Macaca fascicularis: one gene and its partners. The protein of the gene in region 2 binds, or shares a complex with, the protein of the main gene of each other region. Links are inferred from orthologs where the notes say so. Each region holds a gene or a part of one and is shown on either strand. Other genes may lie near its edges. The genes, in order: CLXN, ODAD1, ODAD3 and ODAD4.

What was found.
Region 1: ODAD1 (region 2) and CLXN share a complex: the UniProt entries of both Homo sapiens proteins name them as parts of the outer dynein arm-docking complex. The link is inferred for Macaca fascicularis from reciprocal best matches to the Homo sapiens genes ODAD1 and CLXN.
Region 3: the proteins of ODAD1 (region 2) and ODAD3 are in contact, whole or in part, in a cryo-EM structure (PDB 9CPB), measured with the Bos taurus proteins. The link is inferred for Macaca fascicularis from reciprocal best matches to the Homo sapiens genes ODAD1 and ODAD3. Residues at the interface, in XP_024834988.1 of Bos taurus: Leu31, Gln32, Gln34, Cys35, Met38, Glu41, Arg42, Tyr45, Val49, Arg52, Ile53, Gln56, Leu57, Glu59, Ile60, Leu63, Glu64, Val66, Arg67, Leu70, Arg71, Gln73, Ile74, Ala77, Gln78, Asp86, Arg89, Leu90, Ser92, Met93; in NP_001095517.1 of Bos taurus: Gln69, Leu73, Lys76, Ile77, Leu79, Leu80, Asp83, Arg84, Phe87, Tyr88, Thr91, Asn94, Ile95, Asn98, Gln99, Thr101, Ile102, Leu105, Arg106, Glu108, Thr109, Leu112, Gln113, Gln115, Leu116, Leu119, Gly122, Asp123, Val126, Ala129.
Region 4: ODAD1 (region 2) and ODAD4 share a complex: the UniProt entries of both Homo sapiens proteins name them as parts of the outer dynein arm-docking complex. The link is inferred for Macaca fascicularis from reciprocal best matches to the Homo sapiens genes ODAD1 and ODAD4.

What each region holds. Positions count from the first base shown.
Region 1 is NC_088382.1:58,624,608-58,630,347, reverse strand, and holds the start of CLXN (calaxin), read left to right. Parts: upstream 1-2,412; 5' UTR 2,413-2,522; coding exon 2,523-2,580; exon of another isoform or gene 2,581-2,726; intron 2,727-5,740. UniProt on the Homo sapiens protein: Component of the outer dynein arm-docking complex (ODA-DC) that mediates outer dynein arms (ODA) binding onto the doublet microtubule. Seems to regulate the assembly of both ODAs and their axonemal docking complex onto ciliary microtubules.
Region 2 is NC_088393.1:56,283,495-56,288,136, forward strand, and holds the end of ODAD1 (outer dynein arm-docking complex subunit 1), read right to left. Parts: intron 3,094-4,642; coding exon 2,930-3,093; intron 2,851-2,929; coding exon 2,753-2,850; intron 2,419-2,752; coding exon 2,340-2,418; intron 2,269-2,339; coding exon 1,726-2,268; 3' UTR 1,211-1,725; downstream 1-1,210. UniProt on the Homo sapiens protein: Component of the outer dynein arm-docking complex (ODA-DC) that mediates outer dynein arms (ODA) binding onto the doublet microtubule. Involved in mediating assembly of both ODAs and their axonemal docking complex onto ciliary microtubules.
Region 3 is NC_088393.1:11,991,312-11,996,411, forward strand, and holds part of ODAD3 (outer dynein arm-docking complex subunit 3), read right to left. Parts: intron 2,150-5,100; coding exon 1,979-2,149; intron 1,891-1,978; coding exon 1,789-1,890; intron 1,678-1,788; coding exon 1,552-1,677; intron 1,373-1,551; coding exon 1,250-1,372; intron 24-1,249; coding exon 1-23. UniProt on the Homo sapiens protein: Component of the outer dynein arm-docking complex (ODA-DC) that mediates outer dynein arms (ODA) binding onto the doublet microtubule. Involved in mediating assembly of both ODAs and their axonemal docking complex onto ciliary microtubules.
Region 4 is NC_088390.1:62,973,210-62,978,309, reverse strand, and holds part of ODAD4 (outer dynein arm-docking complex subunit 4), read right to left. Parts: intron 1,206-5,100; coding exon 1,074-1,205; intron 939-1,073; exon of another isoform or gene 866-938; intron 811-865; coding exon 660-810; intron 1-659. UniProt on the Homo sapiens protein: Component of the outer dynein arm-docking complex (ODA-DC) that mediates outer dynein arms (ODA) binding onto the doublet microtubule. Plays an essential role for the assembly of ODA-DC and for the docking of ODA in ciliary axoneme.

The DNA of each region.
Region 1 (5,740 bases), on a different chromosome or scaffold from region 2:
AAGTCTAAAAATATTAAGTTCCAAAACTTCACAAGAATGTAATGAAAGCTCTGAAGTTTACCCATATGTTGACAAAACATACCCCAAATAAACACTGTACTTTCCCTGAAAAAGATGGTAAGACCTTATTATAAGGTCAACTCTGCAAACCACTCTCTTAGATAAGTGAGATTCACAAAACAATGCATTTGTATGGATAGATAGATAGACATAGAGATACAGAGATGTTTTTGGCTAAAAGAACAGCATGGAAGAAAGAACTGGAGGAGGAAAGAAGTGGAAAAGGAGGAGGTGGCTTAAAAAGTTTGCTCAACAGGTTAAGAAGTTTTGGCCTGGCGCATTTTAATTTCAACAATCTGTGATATTACCCCTACATCTTTTTATTATTGTTTTAACTTTAAGAGAATATGGTTGATGGGCTCTGGGCCTGAAACTCGTGAAGGAATAACTAATTCGCTCAGCTGTAGCAAGCACCCAGTGTGTGCGATCTCCCCAGGCCCCCAGAAATAACCACCAATGTGCTCACCAGCAGCGCAGGCCTGCTCCCCAACACAGGCCTAGTACATCAGACAGGGAGCCCACAGTGCCTCTTAGTAATTACTGACAACCACTCTTTCAGTACCTTGTCTCTTGAAGTGAGCAGTGCAGCAATCTCTAGGAATTAAGTATTTGCTACAGCTCTGTGATCTAACAGAAATCAATAAGGTGTCACAGGTAAGTATAATTCAAATATGTCCAGTCTTTCCCTTTTGTTCTCTATGGTTTCAGGAATTTCACTCTTCTAGACAAGGGGATATGTAGAAACACTATTTAAAAAGGCTACTGTTACAAATTCATAATCACCATCAATTCATATCAGGTAGCTGTTGTTAGGTCATTTGCTTTAGGATAAAATACAGTCCATGCCTTTACCAAGCACCCTTTGCTCTAGTTTCAGACAGCATCCCAATCCTTCATTCCAAAAACAAATGAAACAGTAAAGAGAAACCAGAGGCCCTGACATTGGAATTATTTCATTTGGGATTATTATTCATGGTTAGTAGAATTTTTCTGCTTCAGTCTAAAAATGCCAGTATGTGTACAATAACATAGTTTGTCATTTTCCCCTCTGAAGTTAAACAAGCAGGCACTCTGGAGAATACTGTAGATTTGGTGCTCCTGGCTGAGCCACCCCTTTTTGTTGCTGCCTTAGCTGAAAGGGAGGTATCCCCTCTGTGGTCAGGAAAAGCAGAAAGTCCTCCCACACTGAAGATGTAAGGACTATCCTTTGTCTGCAGACACAGAACCTGTCTTTCAAATAAGTCAAGGACCAAGGTTACTGAGATATTTTCCAGAAAAGCAAGATTGGGCTGTATCCCACACCCAAGTGGTAGTTGTCAGCCCCTGTTTTCATTGGGGGGAATGCCTATTTAAGCAGTATAAAAATTCCTAGTGACTTTATTCAGATTCCACAGACAACTTCCACCTTTTGAGAGTGAGATGAGGGCAGTGGGAAAAGAAAAAAAAACTACAGTCACAAGCCACATAGCGCCATTTAAGTCAATGTCAGACAACATTAGGACAGTGGTCCCATAAGATATAACACTGTACTGGAACACTGCTCCTTCCCCAGAGTGCTTAGCACTCTGTCCTAGCTGCCTGCAGCATTCCGCGCAGTGACCTGCTGTGCAGGTGTGCAGCCCAGAAGCAATGGGCTGTACCATACAGCCCGGCGTGCAGTAGGCGAGGCCATCTAGGTTTGTGTCGGTGCACCGTGATGTGCACACACTGATGAAATCTCCTCGTGACCTCAGAACGCATCTCCATCCTTAGACAACCCGTGGCTGTATTCCAATTTCCCCTTGCTCTCAGAAACACAACTAAAAGCTTGAAGACCTCAGGTGACAAACTGCCTCCTGTTACCGCACCAAGACTGACAGCCTAAGCGTGGCTCCGCCCAAAGAGCAAGCTCCTCGCCCTACGACAGGAGGCCCGGCGAGACAGTCCTCTGGACAGCACCCTTGCTGTTTTGTGACGCTGCTCCAGCCCCCAGGATGTCCAAGATCTTAGGCTTCCCTTTGACGCGTGACGCTCACCACCCGAAACACCTCTCATACAGCGTACACACCACATTTCAGATTTTAATCATTTACACTGCAATCAAGCAAAAAGGTTGCGAACTCAAAAGCCAGCAACAACTGAACATTTAAACTCCAACGTCCACAATCAGAATACAGCCCTCAAGGCGGCCAGCTGGGACCCTGCAGGCAGCACCGCGCACGCAGGACCTAGCGCACGCCGCCGTTGAGCCGATGGGCGGAGCTCAGTTGTTGCCATGGCCACGTCGCGGGCAGCCTGGGAGCCAATCCGCGGCGGATCGAGCCGTTGCCTTGGCTACACCGTCTGTTAGGGCAGCGCACGCTATCAGTGACTGAGACCTCACCGCGTTGCCCCAGCACCAGGGCTCGCGGGGGTCCCGGGAGAGTCTCGGCAGCCGTGCGCCCCGAGACCCCCGCCGCGGCCCCATTCTCTGAGGGCCAGGCATGAACCGCAAGAAGCTGCAGAAGCTGACAGACACCTTAGCTAAAAATTGCAAGCATTGTAAGTAAGAATCTAGTGCTGGACAAGTCGAGGCTCCTGGACCGAACCTGGGTCCCACCCGGTGCCAGGGTCCGCTGTTCTGCCTGCTTCCGGCCTCCTGGGCTTGTGTGGGCTACCTACCGCCCCTCCACTCCGGCCCCTTAGGCGTAAGTCAGTGGGTGAATCCCCGGGGTGCTAGCTCCTTGGGTTTGATCTTAGGAACCCAGGCCTCCACCTCTAGTGCTACCTACACTCCCACACATGCATTTACTTGCTTCTCCAAGCCTCTTATTTTACCTGATAGAAACGTGATGTTAGCCTCAGTGAGGTGTAAAATAAATGCTAAAACCCACTGGTCTCAAGAAAAGTACCACCACCAACGTGCACTCACCCTGCTTTCTAGCTCGCATATACACTCGCAGGTACAAGTTCTGGAAGCTTACCAAGAGACCCATAGGAGAAAACGGTGCTCAACTTCTCAACATCTTTAGGAGATGTTAGTTGTGTCATCTCATCTGTGCCTCAGAACAAGATTTGTTTGGAAAACAGAGTTCAGCACAACTAAACACGCGGAAAAGAATGGATTCCCAACTTTAGACTCCCACTTTCCTGTGGCCCCTAGTGTTGAAAGATAAAGGAGACTTTGCAGGTGACAAGATGAGCCCTATTTGAAGGCACCTGCTCTAATCTCGCATTTGAAAGGGTGGTACTGGAATTTCATAGGAAACTTTGAGTTTATATTCAGACTGAAAAACATAATTGCACTTGAGCAAGGAAACCGTGGGTATGGTTTAGATGAGGAAGATATTGCCTGTCGAGCAAACTTAGAAGTTGTGTGTTCATTGCAAATCTACTGGTCACTTGAAGAAACAGAAGCAACAATTCCCCAAATATCTGCATTGCTCAAAGAAGAAGGAATAAACGTGTTGATGTAGTTTTAGAGATCATAAGATCTAGTGCATTCTAATTATCATTAGTGTCTGATTTAATACCTGGTAAGAAATGCTCTCTTAGTGGGATGGTGACGTAAATGAATGTTATGGTATGTGTAAGCATCTTAAAATGTCTAGGAAAAAAAATCCTGTAATTTAAGGTATTATTATGACTACTATACTCTGATGAGAGTTTTGTTCTGTTATTGTTTTTCTTAAAACACTTTCATTTCTGGGAGAAGAATAGGTATTCTTCTAGTAAACATCTAGTAAACATTTTTGATAAATATTCAAAAACAATGCAATAGCTGCTATACACAATACTGATTTTGTCCCTTTCCATAAGTTTGAATTTGAGTTAGTCTCTGTTCAGTAAGTTTGAATGCATTGCAAACAATCATTCTGTAAACAATCAAAAGGTGAGTGTATATTTTTAAAGATAATTAAAAATATGGCAGGAAAAAGTCTACTCTTGATTTTTTTATTTACTAAAAAAATTTTAATGAGTCTTACAAACTTAGATGATTATTACAGTCTATAGAAATAGTTATAAGTCATGGGTATTATAATAATTTTAAATTTTCTTTAACAGAAGGAACTTTCCCCTAAAGTTAAATTTTGTTTTAGTTGCAAGACAATAAAACTATCAAGAGTCAATGGATAAATTTTGTAGAATCAAAGAAGAGTGAAAGATCTTAAGAGAGCATCTAGTTCATGCACCATTCTACAGATATGTTCTGCAGGACACATTTAGAGCATTCCAAGAAGATGAAAATCTGTTCTTGAATTTTCTTCAGTTTCATTTAATATTGTATTCTAGAATTTAAGAAATGTTTAGCAATAAAAGTTTTCTTATGGCTAACCTTTGATCCTTTGGGTAATAAATTAAACTAACTTTTTAAAATTTTTATTTCAGCTGAGATGGAAAAATGGCTAACCAACATCCCCTCTACTACCATTTTATATACATGAACAGAGTACATCATTCTTCATGCAGGTTTTTCTTCCCCAACCACTAATAGCTCTTGCTTTTTAAGAGGTTTGTGTGTGTGTATATGCGGTTACATGTAACATGAAATTTACTATTTTAACCATTTTAAGTGCTTACATCCTCCTCCAGAACTTTTTCATCGTCCCCAGTGGAAACTCTACCCATTAAATATTAACTCACCATTCCCTCCTCATCCTAGCCCCTGGCAACTACCATTTTACTTTGTCTCTATAAATCTGACTAAGTACCTCATATATGAGGAATCATACAATATGTGTCCTTTCGTGCCTGGCTTATTTGACTTAGTGCAATGTCCATAAATGTTCATCTATGTGTCAGAATTTTCTTCCTTTTTAAGACTGAATAATACTTCGTTGTATGAATACGCCACATTTTGTCTATCCATTCCTCCATTGATGGACTCTTGCATCTGTCTTTTGACTGTTGTGAATAATGACACTATGAACATTGTTGTGCAGGTTCCTGCTTTCAGTTCTTCTGAGTATGTATTTAGAAGTAGAGTTCCTGGATCATACGATAATTGTGTTTAATTTTTATGAAGCGCCATCATACTGCTTTCCAGTGACTAACAGCTGTTTTTAAAATCATAACCATTATATTGTTTCCTACTGTTTATTTGCTGAATCTTTTTTCCCAAAGTTTTTAGTGTTTCTCTTTAAATGTGGTTCTCCAAACCAGATATCTCACAAAAGCCTGTACTGACCTCTAGGATGAGGTGTGATTTTTCCATTCCTAGATGCTGTCTTCTGTTATACACATGCAGGTTTTGTCCTTGTTTGTTAAAATGCTCAATCATAGTTTTGTCTGGTTTCTAAATAAATTTTCCCCAACTTCCTCCCATACTTGGTATTTGGGCTTTTATATTATCAAGACCAGGCAATAACCCTTCCACCTACATTCTCAAATGGGGATTGGAACACAAATAATTAACTCGGTATTTATAACCATGGTCCTTTATACAATAATGTGTATGAGCAAGTATCTGTGTGTGTATATATCCTTTAAATAAAAATGTCCTTCCTCCAAACTATTACTGAATACTTGCATGTCAATTTTTACATAATCCTCAAGAAGAGCCATATTGGGTGCTAAAATATGCTTTAAAGCTTTTTATTGGAAAACTGGTGACTCTAGTTTCCAAAATCTGGCTTATGAATTCATGAAGCCTAAAGTGAAATGAAAATCGTTACCTAGTTCTCATGAACCTGACATCTATTTCCAGGGAAAAGAAGTTGTA
Region 2 (4,642 bases):
CAACCTCCGCTTCCCAGATTCAAGCAATTCTCATGCCTCAGCCTCCAGAGTAGTTTGGAAGACAGGTGCACATCACCATGCTCTGCTAATTTTTGTATTTTCAGTCGAGGCAGGGTTTCACATGTTCACCAGGCTGGTCTTGAACTCCTGGGCTCGAGTGATCCACCCACCTCAGCCTCCCAAAGTGCTGGGATTACAGGCGTGAGCCACCACGCCCAGCCTGATTTTTTTTTAAGTTTTTATATAGCTTTGACACCAACGGATTAAATGCTGACAGGGAATTTGGCATGACTCAACTACAGCAAAGAGTTATCATGGCGTTCTAAGCCCTCTCACTCCTACACCCACCCCACCCCCCCCCCCCACCCCCGCTGCAGGAAAGGGTCAAGGTCAGCTTTTTCTCTGTGACCCTGCGACTGGAGTTAGGGCTGTCCATAAATAATCCTTCCTTTCTCTCCTTCCAGACACATGAAAAGACTACGCTTCCCGGTGCCCCTGTGAAGTTCGGGGTGACCAGGGGACCTACTCTGGCTGAGTGTAAGCTAAGAAGACAGGTGTCATATCAGGTCCAAGCCTCGCAAGTCACTGCCTGCTGTGCCATCCTCTCTTCTTCCTGTGCCAAAGGACTGGCAGCATTCCAGATGATGGCTGTGCCATGGGCCTGGGGGACACGGGTGATATGGAGGACAGCGCTTGGCTGGCCCACAAAGGAGAGAAACCTCTGCTGCCTGAGGACCACGGAGAATCTGCAGCTGTGACTGCCCTGACCAACACAGCTCCAGGAGAGGTCTCAGAAAAATGGATGAATAGGCCCGGCGTGGTGGCTCAAGCCTGTAATCCCAGCATTTTGGGAGGCTGAGGTGGGCAGATCACCTGAGGTCAGGAGTTCAAGACCAGCCTGCCCAACATGGTGAAACCCCATCTCTACTAAAAATACAAAAATTAGCCAGGCGTGGTGGTGGGCACCTGTAATCCCAGCTACTTGGGAGGCTGAGGCAGGAGAATGGCGTGAACCTGGGAGGCAGAGGTTGCAGTGAGCTGAGATCGTGACACTGCACTCCAGCCTGGGCAACAAGAGGGAAACTTCATCTCAATAAATAAATAAGAATGCTGAATGAGTGAGTGAATGAATGAATGGCAGGGAGTCGGGACAGGGTCACAGATGACCCCCAGGCCGGAGGTAGAGGAAGCAGCCATGCCTGAAGCCGGCTCTCCACACATAGGCTTTATTTCCACAGTCCCATTTTCCCATGCTGAACCTGGCATCTTCGCCCTGACTTTTCCCATGCCCGTCAGCACTAGAGGGCTCTTGGGGAGTGAGGAGCTGCAGAGAGAGGGACACAGGATGTATGCAGAGCCTGGGAGATGGAGACGAGGAGAGAGAGCCAGCAACAGAAGGTGGGGAATCCACAGGGGGTCAGGGCTCAGCAGACAGGGAAGGGGCAGATATGGAGACAAGAAGGACGGACACTGACTGGGAAGCCGAGAGAACAGGAGATCGGGAGGCAGAGGGAAAAGCAGGGTCAGGAGCAGAGAGAAAGGAACCAGGAGACAGAGGTGAGGCGGTGATGAAGGGCAGATGAAAACAGTTAAGAGGGGCAAAAAGACAGAGGCCTGGGACTGGGAGAAAAAGACAGGGACCCACAAGGCAAACAGGGAAGTAGAGACACAAAAAAAGACCTCTACAGAGAGCCAGGGCAGGGTGGGGGCTGCAGGCCCCTCGTGTTAGCCCCGGGAGTCTTTGCTGGTGGAGGAGCCGGGGCCAGTGCTGGAGGCAGGGCCGGTGCTGGAGACGTGGCCTCTGCTGGACCCGGGGCCTCCGCTGGAATCAGACGCTGTGCCTCCGCTCTCCACACCACCCTCTGTGTTTTCTCCGCCCCTGCTGGACCCCACGTATCCCGTGGAGCCCAGGTAGCTGCTGGTGCTGACAGGTCTGAAGGTCACGTGGCCCCCACTCGAGGCACTGGTGGAGCCAAAGGTCACGTGGCCAGTGTTGGGGTCACCGTGCGTGACGTGACTGGGCAAATGCCCCAGGCTGGATTTGAGGGGACCAAAAGTGACGCGGCCAAGAGAGCCACGGTCCCTGCTAGTCTTGTGGCTCAAGATGGACCCGGGGATGGTATGGGGTTGCCTGGTGGGCACCAGGATGGTACTGGAGCCAGCCCTCTGGGTGCTGGCCAGGTCCGCGCTCAGGGTGCCGTCCAGCTTCGCGTCGGCGTCGGCCAGGTCCTTCTGGCGCTGCGCCTCCGCCTGCTCCTGGAGCTGCACCTGCAGGGAAGGTGAGCTGGGCCCCGACGCACACTGAGGCCTGGCCCCACCCCCGAGGGCCCCAATCTCACCAGCTTCTCCACTTGGCTCAGCAGCTCCTCCCTGCTCATGGGGTAGTCATCGCTGGCCTCAAAACCTGGGGGGTCTTCTCTGGGGAGGGGAAGGAAAACCGGAAAAGACTAGACTCCCAGCCCTCAAAAAGGCCAGTGGCCCTTCCTGCTCAACCCCAGGAACCTCACTCATTCTCCCACCAGCCCTGAGTGCCCTCCCCTTCTGGGGTACCCGGGGCCCCGTCTTCCCACACAAAGGTGCCAAGCCCCTACTCCTTCTGGCTGCCTCAAAGCACACACCTCATATTCTAAACCCCCAGGGCCACATCCAGCAGCCAGTCCCCAAAAGCCCCCCAAAACCCTCTATCCTGTGTGTTCCCTCTGCCCCCATGGAAGCCCCGTCCCCCCTGCGTCCCTCCTGCCCTGCGCCTCACAGATTGTCAGGGGGCTGAAGTGGGGCCATCTTCTTCGGAAGGTCCTCCAGGCTCTGGCCCAGTGCCAGGAGGGCGGCGTCGGCCAGGGAGGTGAAGCTCTGGAGGGTGTGGAAGCCTGTGGTCAGCTGGGCCACCCCTGAGACCTGCCTCCCGTCCTGGCTCCCTGCCGCCTCCCACCTGGGCATCCAGGAAGGCCTGCACTGTCAGGAGCTCCACCAGCCGCTTCTCGATGAGGCTCAGGAAGAGGCCCATGTCCCGGTCCGCCATGCCGGTCTTGACCCCAAGGAGGTCATCGATCATGCTGCCGTCGCAATGGGCCTTGGTGAAGAGGAGCTGGATGTCTGCGTCATGGAGGGCCAGCTGTCAGGGATCTGGCACCGCCAGCTGGGTGCTAGCCCTCTCCCCACTCAGGTCCTCACTGCCCCATTCTACAGAGACTGCGATCAAGGCTCAGAGACCAAAAGGGAGTCACCCGAGCTCAGCCAGCCAGGCAGGGGGAGGGCACTGCTGTGCATCCCTCTCTCCCTGGCTTGTCCTTCAAAATCAGCCTCAGGTATCACTGCCTCCAGGAAGCCTTCCCAGTGACCCCAGCAGAGCTGGCTTGGTGAGTGTGAGACCCAGACGGTGGTGAGGGGCCTGCACTTGGCTTGACACGCTGCTGCTCTTCCTATCTTGAAAATCTTGGCAATTTTTTAATAAGGGGCCCCTCATTCTGCACTGGGCCCCACAAATTATGGTCTTGCACTGCAGACTGAGTTACGGCCTCCTCTCGCCCCCAGAGCCTGGGTGTCCTCCATCCTAGCCCCTGAGTGATGAGTGCCCAGTGCTCAGGTCAGTCCCCTCCAGGGCCTCTCCCCACCGTGCCCACATCACCTAGCACAGGGCTCGGCTCAGCCGTCACGACAGCGGGAAGGGGGACCTGCCCATATTTGAGCTCCTACGGTGTGCCCCAAGGGGGCTCCCCAGATCGCTCCCCACCACCCCCCACCTTTCTCTCCATCTGTCATCCCTTCTAATTCTCATGACAACCCTGCAAAGAAGGCACTGCCATCCCCATTCCCAGAGGGGCTCACAAGGAGGAAGCCACACACCAAGGTTCATAATTGGTGGAGCTGAGATTCAAACCCAGGACAGGCTGGGTGCAGTGGCTCACGCCTGTAATCCCAGCATTTTGGGAAGCCAAGGCAGGCAGATCATTTGAGATCAGGAGTTTGAGACCAGCCTGGCCACCATGGTGAAACCCTGTTTCTACTAAAAATACGAAAAAACTAGCCGGGCATGGTAGTGCGTGCCTGTAATCCCAGTCACTCGAGAGGCAGGAGAATCGCTTGCACCCAGGAGACGGACATTGCAGTGAGCCGAGATCACACCACTGCACTCCAGCCTGGCTGACAGAGTGAGATTCCATCTCAAATAAATAAATAAATAAATAAATAAATAAATAAATAAATAAATAAATAAATAATAAAAGCTAACAATAAATGTAAAAAAAACCCAAAAAAACAAAAAACAAAAAACAGGACAGCCTGACTCCTGAGTGCTCTGCATGGCTACTTCCTGAAAAATAAGAAAGATGAGGCCAGGTGTGGTGGCTCACGCCTGTAATCCCAGCACTTTGGGAGACCGAGGCGGGTGGATCACCTAAAGTCAGGAGTTTGAGACCAGCCTGGCCAACATGGCAAAATCCACTCTCCACTAAAAATACAAAAATTAGCTGGGCGTGGTGGTGTGCTCCTGTAATCCCAGCTACTAGGAGGCTAAGGCAGGAGAATCACTTAAACCCAGCAGGGGGAGGTTGCAGTGAATGGAGATGGTGCCACTGCACTCCAACCTGGGGGACAGAGCGAGACTCTCTCTCAAATTAAAAAATAATAATAATAATAATAATAG
Region 3 (5,100 bases), about 44 Mb from region 2:
AGCAGTAGGTGCTCACGGTGCGTCTGCTCGTGGGTTGAGGTCAGAGCCAGGGTCAGCCCGTGGACAGCGCTTAGGGCGGAGGCCGGGGAGGGGGATCCAGACTGGGGCCCAGGAGGGAACAGGGCTCAAACTGGAGAGAAGGGAGAGCGCAAAAGCTTGGGGCCAGATAAAGGCACCCGGGCAGAAAGTGGGACAAGGTCGAGCGCGGGTGGTGGTGGCTGTGATTCACGCCTTTCATTCCAGTACTTTAGGAGGCTGAGGCCGGAGGATCGTTTGAGCCCAGGGGTTCGCGACCAGCTTGGGCAACATGGCGAAACCCCATCTCTACAAAAAATGCAAAAATTAGCAGGGCGTGGTAGGGCGCCTGTAGTCCCAGCTACTTGGGAGGCCGAGGTGAGAGGATCGCTTGAGCTCAAGGCTGCAGTAAGCTATAATTAGTCTGAGCGACAGAGTGAGACCCTGTCTAAAAATATATATATATACGCACACACACACACAGAAAAAACTACCAAAAAAAAAAAAAAAAAATACAAAAAACCCTTGGCCGGGCGCGGTGGCTCACGCCTGTAATCCCAGCACTTTAAGAGGCCAAGGCGGGCGGATCACAAGGTCAGGAAATCGAGATCATCCTGGCTAACACGGTGAAACCCCGTCTCTACTAAAAATACAAAAAAAATTAGCCTGGCGTGGTGGCGGGCGCCTGTAATCCCAGCTGCTGGGAAGGCTGAGGCAGGAGAACGGCGTGAACCCGGGAAACGGAGCTTGCAGTGAGCCGACATCGCGCCACCGCACTCCAGCCTGGGAGACAGAGCGAGACTCCGTCTCAAAAAAAAAAAAAAAATACCTTGGTGAGGGCTGGATGAGTGGCAGCCTCAGGGCAGGTGCAGGGGCGGGGCCAAGAGTGAGGGGGCGGAGCCTTAAGCAAGGGTTGGGTTAGAGGCAGGGTCAGATTTAGGACAGGCAGTCTAGTCAGTTGGGAAAGGATGGGTAGGAGTCACTGAGCAAGGGGAAGGCTGGAGGCCATGTCAGAGCCAAAATGGTGCTGTCGCGTAGGAGGGGAGGGGAGGAGAGGCGGGGTCAGAGATGTGGGAGGAGTCTTTGCACTAAATGGGGGTGAAGTCAGAGAGGGGGCGGAGTTAGGAGAACCTTAGGAAGCGGGAGAAGGCCTAGGATGAGGTAGAGCCAGGGCATGGCTGGTTTGTGCCCGGCAGGGCTGGAGTCACAGGCGCGCACCCCTGGGTGCGCCCACCTTGCGCTCCATGCGCTCGTTCTCCAGTTTCTTCTCCTCGGCACGCTTCTTGCACTCACTTATGTAGCGTTCTCGCTTCTTGCGCTCTCGAACCAAGGTCTCCTCCAGGTACTGCAGCTGGTTCTGGAGGGCAGGCAGGGGAGCAGGGAGACCAGCTGGCACCTATCGCTGCCCGCCGCAGGGTGCTGGGAGATAGATGGGGGCGGGGGCGTTGGGGAAGCTCAGGGACAGCTGAGGTCAGATTCTCAAGCTGGGAGACCGCGGCATCTGGGCAGGATGGCTGAGAGCAAGAGGGGTGGCACCTTGGCAATGTCCCGAGCATTGAGGGCCTCTTGGTTCACCAAGTGCAGTGCTTCCAGTTCATGTTTGGTCCTCACCACCTCAGCCTCCATGGAGTCCAGCCGGTTCTCCAAGTTAAGACTCTCGTCCTGGGGCGTGATGGGGAGCGGTTGGGAAGATGGGGCAGGCCTGTGACTGTTGTCCCTGGCTAAGCCCGCCCTCCCTGCTTGCCATCTCACCCGAGCCCTCCAAGTCCCTACCATTAGATAGGCCTTGAGCTGCAGGTACACGCTGGTAATGTGCTCGGCCTCCTGCGCCTTCATCCGGGCCTTCTCCAGGCGGTTCTCCAGGTTCCGCATGGTCTGGAGAGCAGCAGGGCTGGGCTGAGGGCCCTCCGCACTCAGTCCCTCCCACACGACCCTCTGCCCTGCAGGCCTCACCCGCCCCTACCTTGGCCACCTCCGTGTGGCTGTCTTGCGCCTCCGCCATCTCCAGAAGGCGCAGGCTGTGCTGCAGCTGGAGCTCCTCCAGCCGCCTCTTCCGCAACACCACCTGGTAACGCAGGGCGTTCTGCTGCTTCACCTTCTCCCTCAGCCGGTGGTCTAGGTGCTCCAGGGCCTGCTGCAAGGAGGGGAGCGAAAGCAGGGGCCTGAACACCCTACCCCGACACACATCTAGCCCTTCTTCCCTTCCTTCTCCCATATCTTCCAGGACTCCCCTCTCCCGTTTTCTACCCACCTCCCTGGCCACCCCTTCTGTGCTGTTTTTGGAGAGAGAGCACCAGGGTCTTCTCTCTGTCTATATCCACCACCTTGGTGATCTTACATCGGCTCAGGGTTCTACAAATTTAAAACAAAAATTTTTTTCTCTTTTCTTTTCTTTTTTCTTTTTGATGAAGTCTTGCTCTGTCGCCCAGGCTGGAGTACTGTGGGGCAATCTCGGCACACTGCAACCTCCTCCTCCTGGGTTCACGCCATTCTCCTCCTCAGCCTCCCAAGTAGCTGAGATTACAGGCTCCCACCAGCACACCTGGCTAATTTTTGTTTTGTTTTGTTTTGTTTTGAAAAGAAGTTTCGCTCTGTTGCCCAGGCTGAAGTGTACTGGCACGATCTTGGCTCACTGCAACCTCCGTCTCCCAGGTTGAAGCAATTCTCCTGTCTCAGCCTCCCAAGTAGCTGGGATTACAGGCATGTGCCACCACACCCGGCTAATTTTTGTATTTTGGGTAGAGACAGGGTTTCACCATGTTGGCCAGGCTGGTCTCGAATGCCTGACTTCAGGTGATCCAACTGCCTCGGCCTCCCAAAGTGCTGGGATTACAGACGTGAGCCACCTCACCCGGCTGACTTCTGGCCATTTTTTTCTTTTAAAAAAATTGTTTAGGCTAGGCGCGGTGGCTAACACCTGTAATCCCAGGACCTTGGGAGGTCAAGGCAGGCAGATCATGAGGTCAGGAGATCGAGAACATCCTGGGTAACATGGTGAAACCAGATCTCTACTAAAAATACAAAAAATTAGCCAGGCGTGGTGGCGGGCACCTGTAGTCCCAGCTACTTGGGAGGCTGAGGCAGGAGAATGGTGTGAACCTGGCGGGGGAGCTTGCAGTGAGCCGAGATCATGCACCTGCACTCCAGCCTGGGCGACAGAGTGAGACTCCGTCTCAAAAAAAACCAAAAAACAAACAAAAAAATTTATACAGGCAGGGTCTCGCTATGTTGCCCAGGCTGGTGTCGAATTCCTGGGCCCAAACCATCCTCCTTCCTGGGCCTCCCAAAGTGCTGAGACTACACGCATGAGCCACTGTACCCAGCCCAGTTTTATTTTGTTTTGTTTTTTGAGATGGGGTCTTACCCTGTCACTCAGGCTGGAGTACAGTGACTCGATCTTGGCTCACTGCAACCTCTGCCCCTTGAGCTAAAGTGATCCTTCTTCCTCAGCATCCTCAGTAGCTGGGACCACAGACACATGCCACAACGCCTGGCTACGTTTTTGTAGTTTTGGTAGAGACAGGGTTTCATCATGTTGCCCAGATTGGTCATGAAATTCTGAGCTCAAGTGGTCCACCCACTTCGGCCTCCCAAAGTGCTGGGATTACAGGCGTGAGCCACCATGCCCAGCCTTTTAATTTTAAAAATTATTTTTTGAGGCCAGGCGCGGTGGCTCAAGCCTGTAATCCCAGTACTTTGGGAGGCCGAGACGGGCGGATCACGAGGTCAGGAGATCAAGACCATCCTGGCTAACACGGTGAAACCCCGTCTCTACTAAAAAATACGAAAAAACTTAGCCGGGCGAGGTGGCGGGCGCCTGTAATCCCAGCTACTCGGGAGGCTGAGGCAGGAGAATGGCGTAAACCCGGGAGGCGGAGCTTGCAGTGAGCTGCGATCCGGCCACTGCACTTCAGCCTGGGCTACAGAGCGAGACTCTGTCTCAAAAAAAAAAAAAAAAAAAATTATTTTTTGAGGCCAGGCGCGGTGGCTCAAGCCTGTAATCCCAGTACTTTGGGAGGCCGAGACGGGCGGATCACGAGGTCAGGAGATCGAGACCATCCTGACTAACACGGTGAAACCCCGTCTCTACTAAAAAATACAAAAATCTAGCCAGGCGAGGTGGTGGGCACCTGTAGTCCCAGTTACTCCGGAGGCTGAGGCAGGAGAATGGCATAAACCCGGGAGGCGGAGCTTGCAGTGAGCTGAGATCCGGCCACTGCACTCCAGCCTGGGCGACAGAGCGAGACTCCGTCTCAAATTAAAAAAAAAAAAAAAAAAAATTATTTTTTGAGACAAGGCCTTGCTTTGTCACCCAGACCGGAGTGCAGTGGCACGAACATGACTCACTGCAGCCTCGACCTCCCCAGTTCAAATGATCCTCCCACCTTAGCCTGGCGAGTAGCTGGGACTAGAGTCCTGCGCCACCACATTTGGCTAATCTTTTGTATTTGTTGTAGAGTCAAAGTTTCACTATGTTGCCAGGCTGGTCTCGAACTCTTGGGCTCAAGCAATCCTCCAGCCTTGGCCTCCCAAAGCACTGGCATTACAGGCATGAGCCACCATGCCTAGACTGTGTTTTATTTTTTATTATTTATTTATTTATTTATTTTGAGACAGAGTTTTGGTCCTGTGGCCCAGGCTGGAGTGCAGTGGATGATCTCGGCTCACCACAACCTCCACCTCCTGGGTTCAAGTGATTCTCCTGCCTCAGCCTCCCGAGTAGCTGGGATTACAGGCATGCACCACCATGCCCAGCTAATTTTTTGTATTTTTAATAGAGACGGGGTTTTGCTATGTTGACCAGGCTGGTCTCGAACGCCCAACCTCAGGTGATCCGCCCACCTCGGCCTCCCAAAGTTCTGGGATTACAGGCACGAGCCACCGCGCCTGGCCTTTATTTTGATTTTTTATCTTTTGTTTCTGTTTTTTTGTTTGTTTTTGTTTTTTTGAGACGGAGTCTCACGCTGTTTCCAGGCTAGACTGCAGTGGCACCAATCTCAGCTCACCGCAAGCTCCGCCTCCTGGGTTCAAGCCATTCTCCTGCCTCAGCCTCCTGCGTAGCTGGGACTACAGGCACCCGCCACC
Region 4 (5,100 bases), on a different chromosome or scaffold from region 2:
TTAGGTGGAAATGGCTGCCTTTGGCAGGGGGATGGTGGAGGCTGTGGCAAAGCTGGCCTTAAGCCAGCCTAGTAAGCAAATGGTGCAGGCTGTTTGGTATAACTCCTAGGAGCTAACAGCCCCCACTAGCCCAAGGCTATGGCAGCCAGATTTCCAGACAAAGGGAGGCCAAGGGTACAGGGGAAACTGTCCATTTCCAGGCCCTGCCACCCACAGAGCAAGCTCTCACTTGTTCTCACTTGCTTCCCTTCTACCCCTGCCTTAATGCTGATGGCTAAGGCCAGCCCTTGGTATACGTGTGGTGAGGGAGGAAGCCAGGGACTACAGAAGGCTGGGCTCAGGACCGCGTTCTAGCTTTTGACACCAGGCTAAAGACAGGCCTACTTCGAAACAGCCCTTCTAAGCTGACCTTTAGGAAAACCCAAGGCTGCAGCGCTCAGAGATCAGTGTGTTCGTCAGGGAATGGTCCTCCCGGCGGACAGGTGGCGCCGGCCACCACGCCCAACTAATCCTCAACAACACTGCAGCAGCCAAATCCAAGTGTGGGACTCCCTGCAGGCCTGGTGGTGGCTGCTCACCTGCTGTACCTCAGCCTTCCTCTAAACCTAAGGATTCCAAGGACCTTCCTGGATAAGTGCATAGGCCCTGTGGCCACTCACTTCCCACTGAGTTGTTGATGGCTTCCTGGGCTTTCTGAATGCCAACTTTGAATTCCCGATCAGGCCTCAGCTTGTAGCCTCGATGATAGAATACCAAGGCAAACTCAAAGTCTCCCATGGTGTACAGTGTCTCAGCCTTTTGTAAAATCCCCTGGAATGGGAGGAAATCAAATCAATGTGAACAGATAAGGCCTTATAGGACTCACATGTGGTGGAACAGAAGGGTCCTGGGTTGAGGGTCAAGGTTGGAATACAGGGGGCAGGGACTTAGGCAATGACCTACGAAGAGAAAACGGCATCAAACACTAGGCAGTCTGGCTGCTTCTACTTGTAACAACTACTTGTTACAACTACTTGTAACCCGCAGCTGCTGCAGGCAATAGCAGGATCGAGTCCTCCCGCCCATGCAGTCACCTTACAGAAAGTTGGGTCACTCTGGAGCGAAGCCTCAGCATCCTCCAGGGATCTCTCCAAGTCTCCCATCTTCAGGAAGCACTTTGAGCGAGCAACCAGGCAGTTCTTGTCTCCATCCTGAAGGTAAAGAGCCTGACAAAGAAACCAGTCAGGTTGACAGCCAGCATGAAGAGCAAGGTAGAAGCTGCAGTGGGAAGGGCAGCCCAAACCCTCCTGCAGAGGTTCAAGGGGATTCTTCAGGCCAGCACACAGGCCTCTGGCTCCTAAGCAGCACAACTCCGATCTGCACTCAGTCAACTTGATTATCTGCACATGGCTCACCTTGAACAAGGTCAAATCATGGCTATGATGGAAACCACTGGCTGAAGAGTGGGAATATGCTACTCTGTGGATACGCTGACTTTCTGCCAATGTCTGAGAGCCCCCCAGTCTCCTCAGGCAATAGAACTATAGGGTATTTTGTGCACACCAAACTCAACCACAAACCCGAAATGGCAACACATCATACTCAAAGTAAATTTCAAAGGCTAAGCATTCTGAAGTGGACTTGAGGACAATCTGCCATGTGGGTTAACCATTCCAGTAGCCTTCTCTTTTTATGTAGCTAATCAAGAACTAATCACTATACCCGGGAATTACGATGAAAGTGCCAGGAAAAGGCTGGGAGTGGTGGCTCACGCCTGTAATCCCAGCACTTTATTTGTTGTTGTTGTTGTTTTTGAGTCTCAGCTCTGTCACCCAGGCTGGAGGGCAGTGGCCCCATCTCAGCTAACTGCAGGCTCCGCCTCCTGGGTTCATGCCATTCTCCTGCCTCAGCCTCCCGAGTAGCTGGGACTACAGGCGCCCACCACCACGCCCGGCTAATTTTTTTGTATTTTTAGTAGAGACGGGGTTTCACTGTGTTAGCCAGGATGGTCTTGATCTCCTGACCTTGTGATCTGCCCGCCTTGGCCTCCCAAAGTGCTGGGATTACAGGTGTGAGTCACCACGCCCGGCCAATACGAGCACTTTGGCAGGTTGAGGTGGACGGAATGCTTGAGCCCAAAAGCAAGCTCCGCCTCCCGGGTTCACACCATTCTCCAGCCTCAGCCTCCCAAGTAGCTGGGACTACAGGCGCCCACCACTGCGCCCTGCTAATTTTTTTGTATTTTCAGTAGAGACGGGGTTTCACTGTGTTAGTCAGGATGGTCTCGATCTCCTGACCTTGTGATCCGCCCGCCTTGGCCTCCCAAAATGCTGGGATTACAGGCATGAGCCACCACACCCGGCCAATACGAGCACTTTGGCAGGTCGAGGTGGACGGAATGCTTGAGCCCAAGAGTTTGAGACAGGATTTTGCCATGGCAAAACCCTGTCTCTACAAAATACAAAAAAATTAGCTGGGTGTGGTGGTCCATGATTGTAGTCCCAGCTACTCAGGAGGCTGAGATGGGAGGATTGCTTGAACCTGGAGAGGTCGAGGCTGCAGTAAGCCATGATCACACCACTGCACTCCAGCCTGGGTGACAGAATGAGACTCTGTCTCAAAAAACAAAACAGGCCGGGCGCGGTGGCTCAAGCCTGTAATCCCAGCACTTTGGGAGGCCGAGGCGGGTGGATCACGAGGTCAGGAGATCGAGACTATCCTGGCTAATATGGTGAAACCCCGTCTCTACTAAAAATACAAAAAACTAGCCGGGCGTGGTGGCGGGCGCCTGTAGTCTCAGCTACTTGGGAGGCTGAGGCGGGAGAATGGCGTGAACCCGGGAGGCGGAGCTTGCAGTGAGCCGAGATCACGCCACTGCACTCCAGCCTGGGAGACACAGCGAGACTCCGTCTCAAAAAAAAAAAACAAAAAACAAAAAACAAAAAACAAAACAAAACAAAAAGAGGCCGGGTGCAGCGGCTCACACCTGTAATCCCAGAACTTTGGGAGGCCGAGGCGGGTGGATTATGAGGTCAGGAGTTCGAAACCAGCCTGGCCAACATGGTGAAACCCGTTTCTACTAAAAACACAAAAATTAGCCAGATGTGGTGGTGAGCACCTGTAATCCCAGCTACTCAGGAGTCTGAGGCAAGAGAATCGTTTGAACCTGGGAGGCAGAGGTTGTAGTGAGCTGAGATCATGCCACTGTACTCCAGCCTGGGTGATGCAGTGAGACGCTGTCTCAAAAAAAAAAAGCCAGGAAAATGAAACTGTGATTTTGACACTAAAGTGGGGTTGAGGGAAATTTTCCCTCTCTTCTGTGTGAGATGATTACCATAGTCTGTGGTGTACTGTCCTTCCTGAGGCATCTAACTGTACCCACCCCTCTTTTTCTTTTTTGAGACAGTCTCACTCTGTCACTCAGCCTGGAGTGCAGTGGCACGATCTCTGCTCACTGCAACTTCCGAGTCCCAGGTTGAAGCAATTCTCCTGCCTTAGCCTCCCGAATACTTGGGACTACAGGCGCCTGCCATCACGCCTGGCTAATTTTCTTCTTTTTTTTTTTTTTTTTTTTTTGAGACGGAGTCTCGCTCTGTCGCCCAGGCTGGAGTGCAATGGCGCGATCTCGGCTCACTGCAAGCTCCGCCTCCCGGGTTCACGCCATTCTCCTGCCTCAGCCTCCCGAGTAGCTGGGACTACAGGCGCCCACAACCGCGCCCGGCTAATTTTTTTGTATTTTTAGTAGAGACGGGGTTTCACCGTGGTCTCGATCTCCTGACCTTGTGATCCGCCCGCCTCGGCCTCCCAAAGTGCTGGGATTACAGGCGTGAGCCACCGCGCCCGGCCCTTTTTTCTTTTTTGAGATGGAGTTTCGCTCTTGTTGCCAAAGCTGGAGTGCAATGGCACAATCTCGGCTCACTGCAACCTCAGCCTCCTGGGTTCAAGCAATCCTCCTGCCTCAGCCTCCGGAGTAGCTGGGATTATAGGCACTCGCCACCACACCTGGTTTATTTTTTGTATTTTTAGTAGAAACGGGGTTTCACCATGTTAGCCAGGCTGGTCTCGAACACCTGACCTTAGGTGATCCACCTGCTTTGGCCTCCCAAAGTGCTGGGATTACAGGCCTGAGCCACCTGACCTGGTCTTTTTTTTTGAGATGGAGTTTCACTCTTGTTGCCCAGGCTAGAGTGCAATGGCACAATCTTGGCTCACTGCAACCTCTGTCTCTCAGGTACCCAGCCCTTTCTAAGACCTTATGACTTTTCTAAGAAGAGGAAGTAGCTACTGTCTTTCTGGAAAGTGACTACGTCTCATCCAAGGCTACCCTTCCCTCAGGGTGTTCTTTTTCTCTGCCGGGGTACTTCAGGATGGGACATGATCCAGCAGGAGGAGAATAAGTGGGGACAGGGCTTCTGAACTCAATTGTTCACTTATCTGGTCATCATTTCTGGTTTTAGGGTATGGTTGGTGACTGAAAGGGACAAACAACTCTGGGGAGCTGTTGAGAAGCTTGATCTTACAGGAAGTCTTGAGACTGAAGGGTTATCCTACCACTCTATCTAGAATAAGAAGTGGGCAATTTGGAGCAAAAGAAATGGTCATAAAAACATCTTTTTAGGGCACTGTAGCTCATACCTGTAATCCTAGCACTTTGTGAAGCCAAAGCGGGAGTATTACTTGAGCTCAGGTGTTCAATACCAGCCAGGGCAACATAGCAAAACACCTGTCTCTACAAAAAACAAAACAAAACAAAACAAAACAAAATAGCCAGGTATGGTGGTGTAAGCCTGTAGCTCCAGCTACTTGGAACACTAAGGTGGGAGGATCACTTGAGCTCAGGAGTTTGAGGCTGTATTGAGCTGTGATTGTGCCACCACATTCCAGCCTGGGAGATAGAACGAGATCCTATCTCTAAAAAAAAAAAAAAAAGAAAGAAAGAAAGAAAGAGTTTCCTTATGCAGATGTTGGATGTGTAGTTTGGTGGTTAGCACCTCAGCCTTGGAATCTAAGCCCAGCTTTGAATCCTTCTTCTGCCACTTGCTAGTTCAGCAACCTTGGACATGTTGCTCAACTTCTGTATATTTCTTCATCTATAAAATTGAGTATACACTGCGCGGGGTG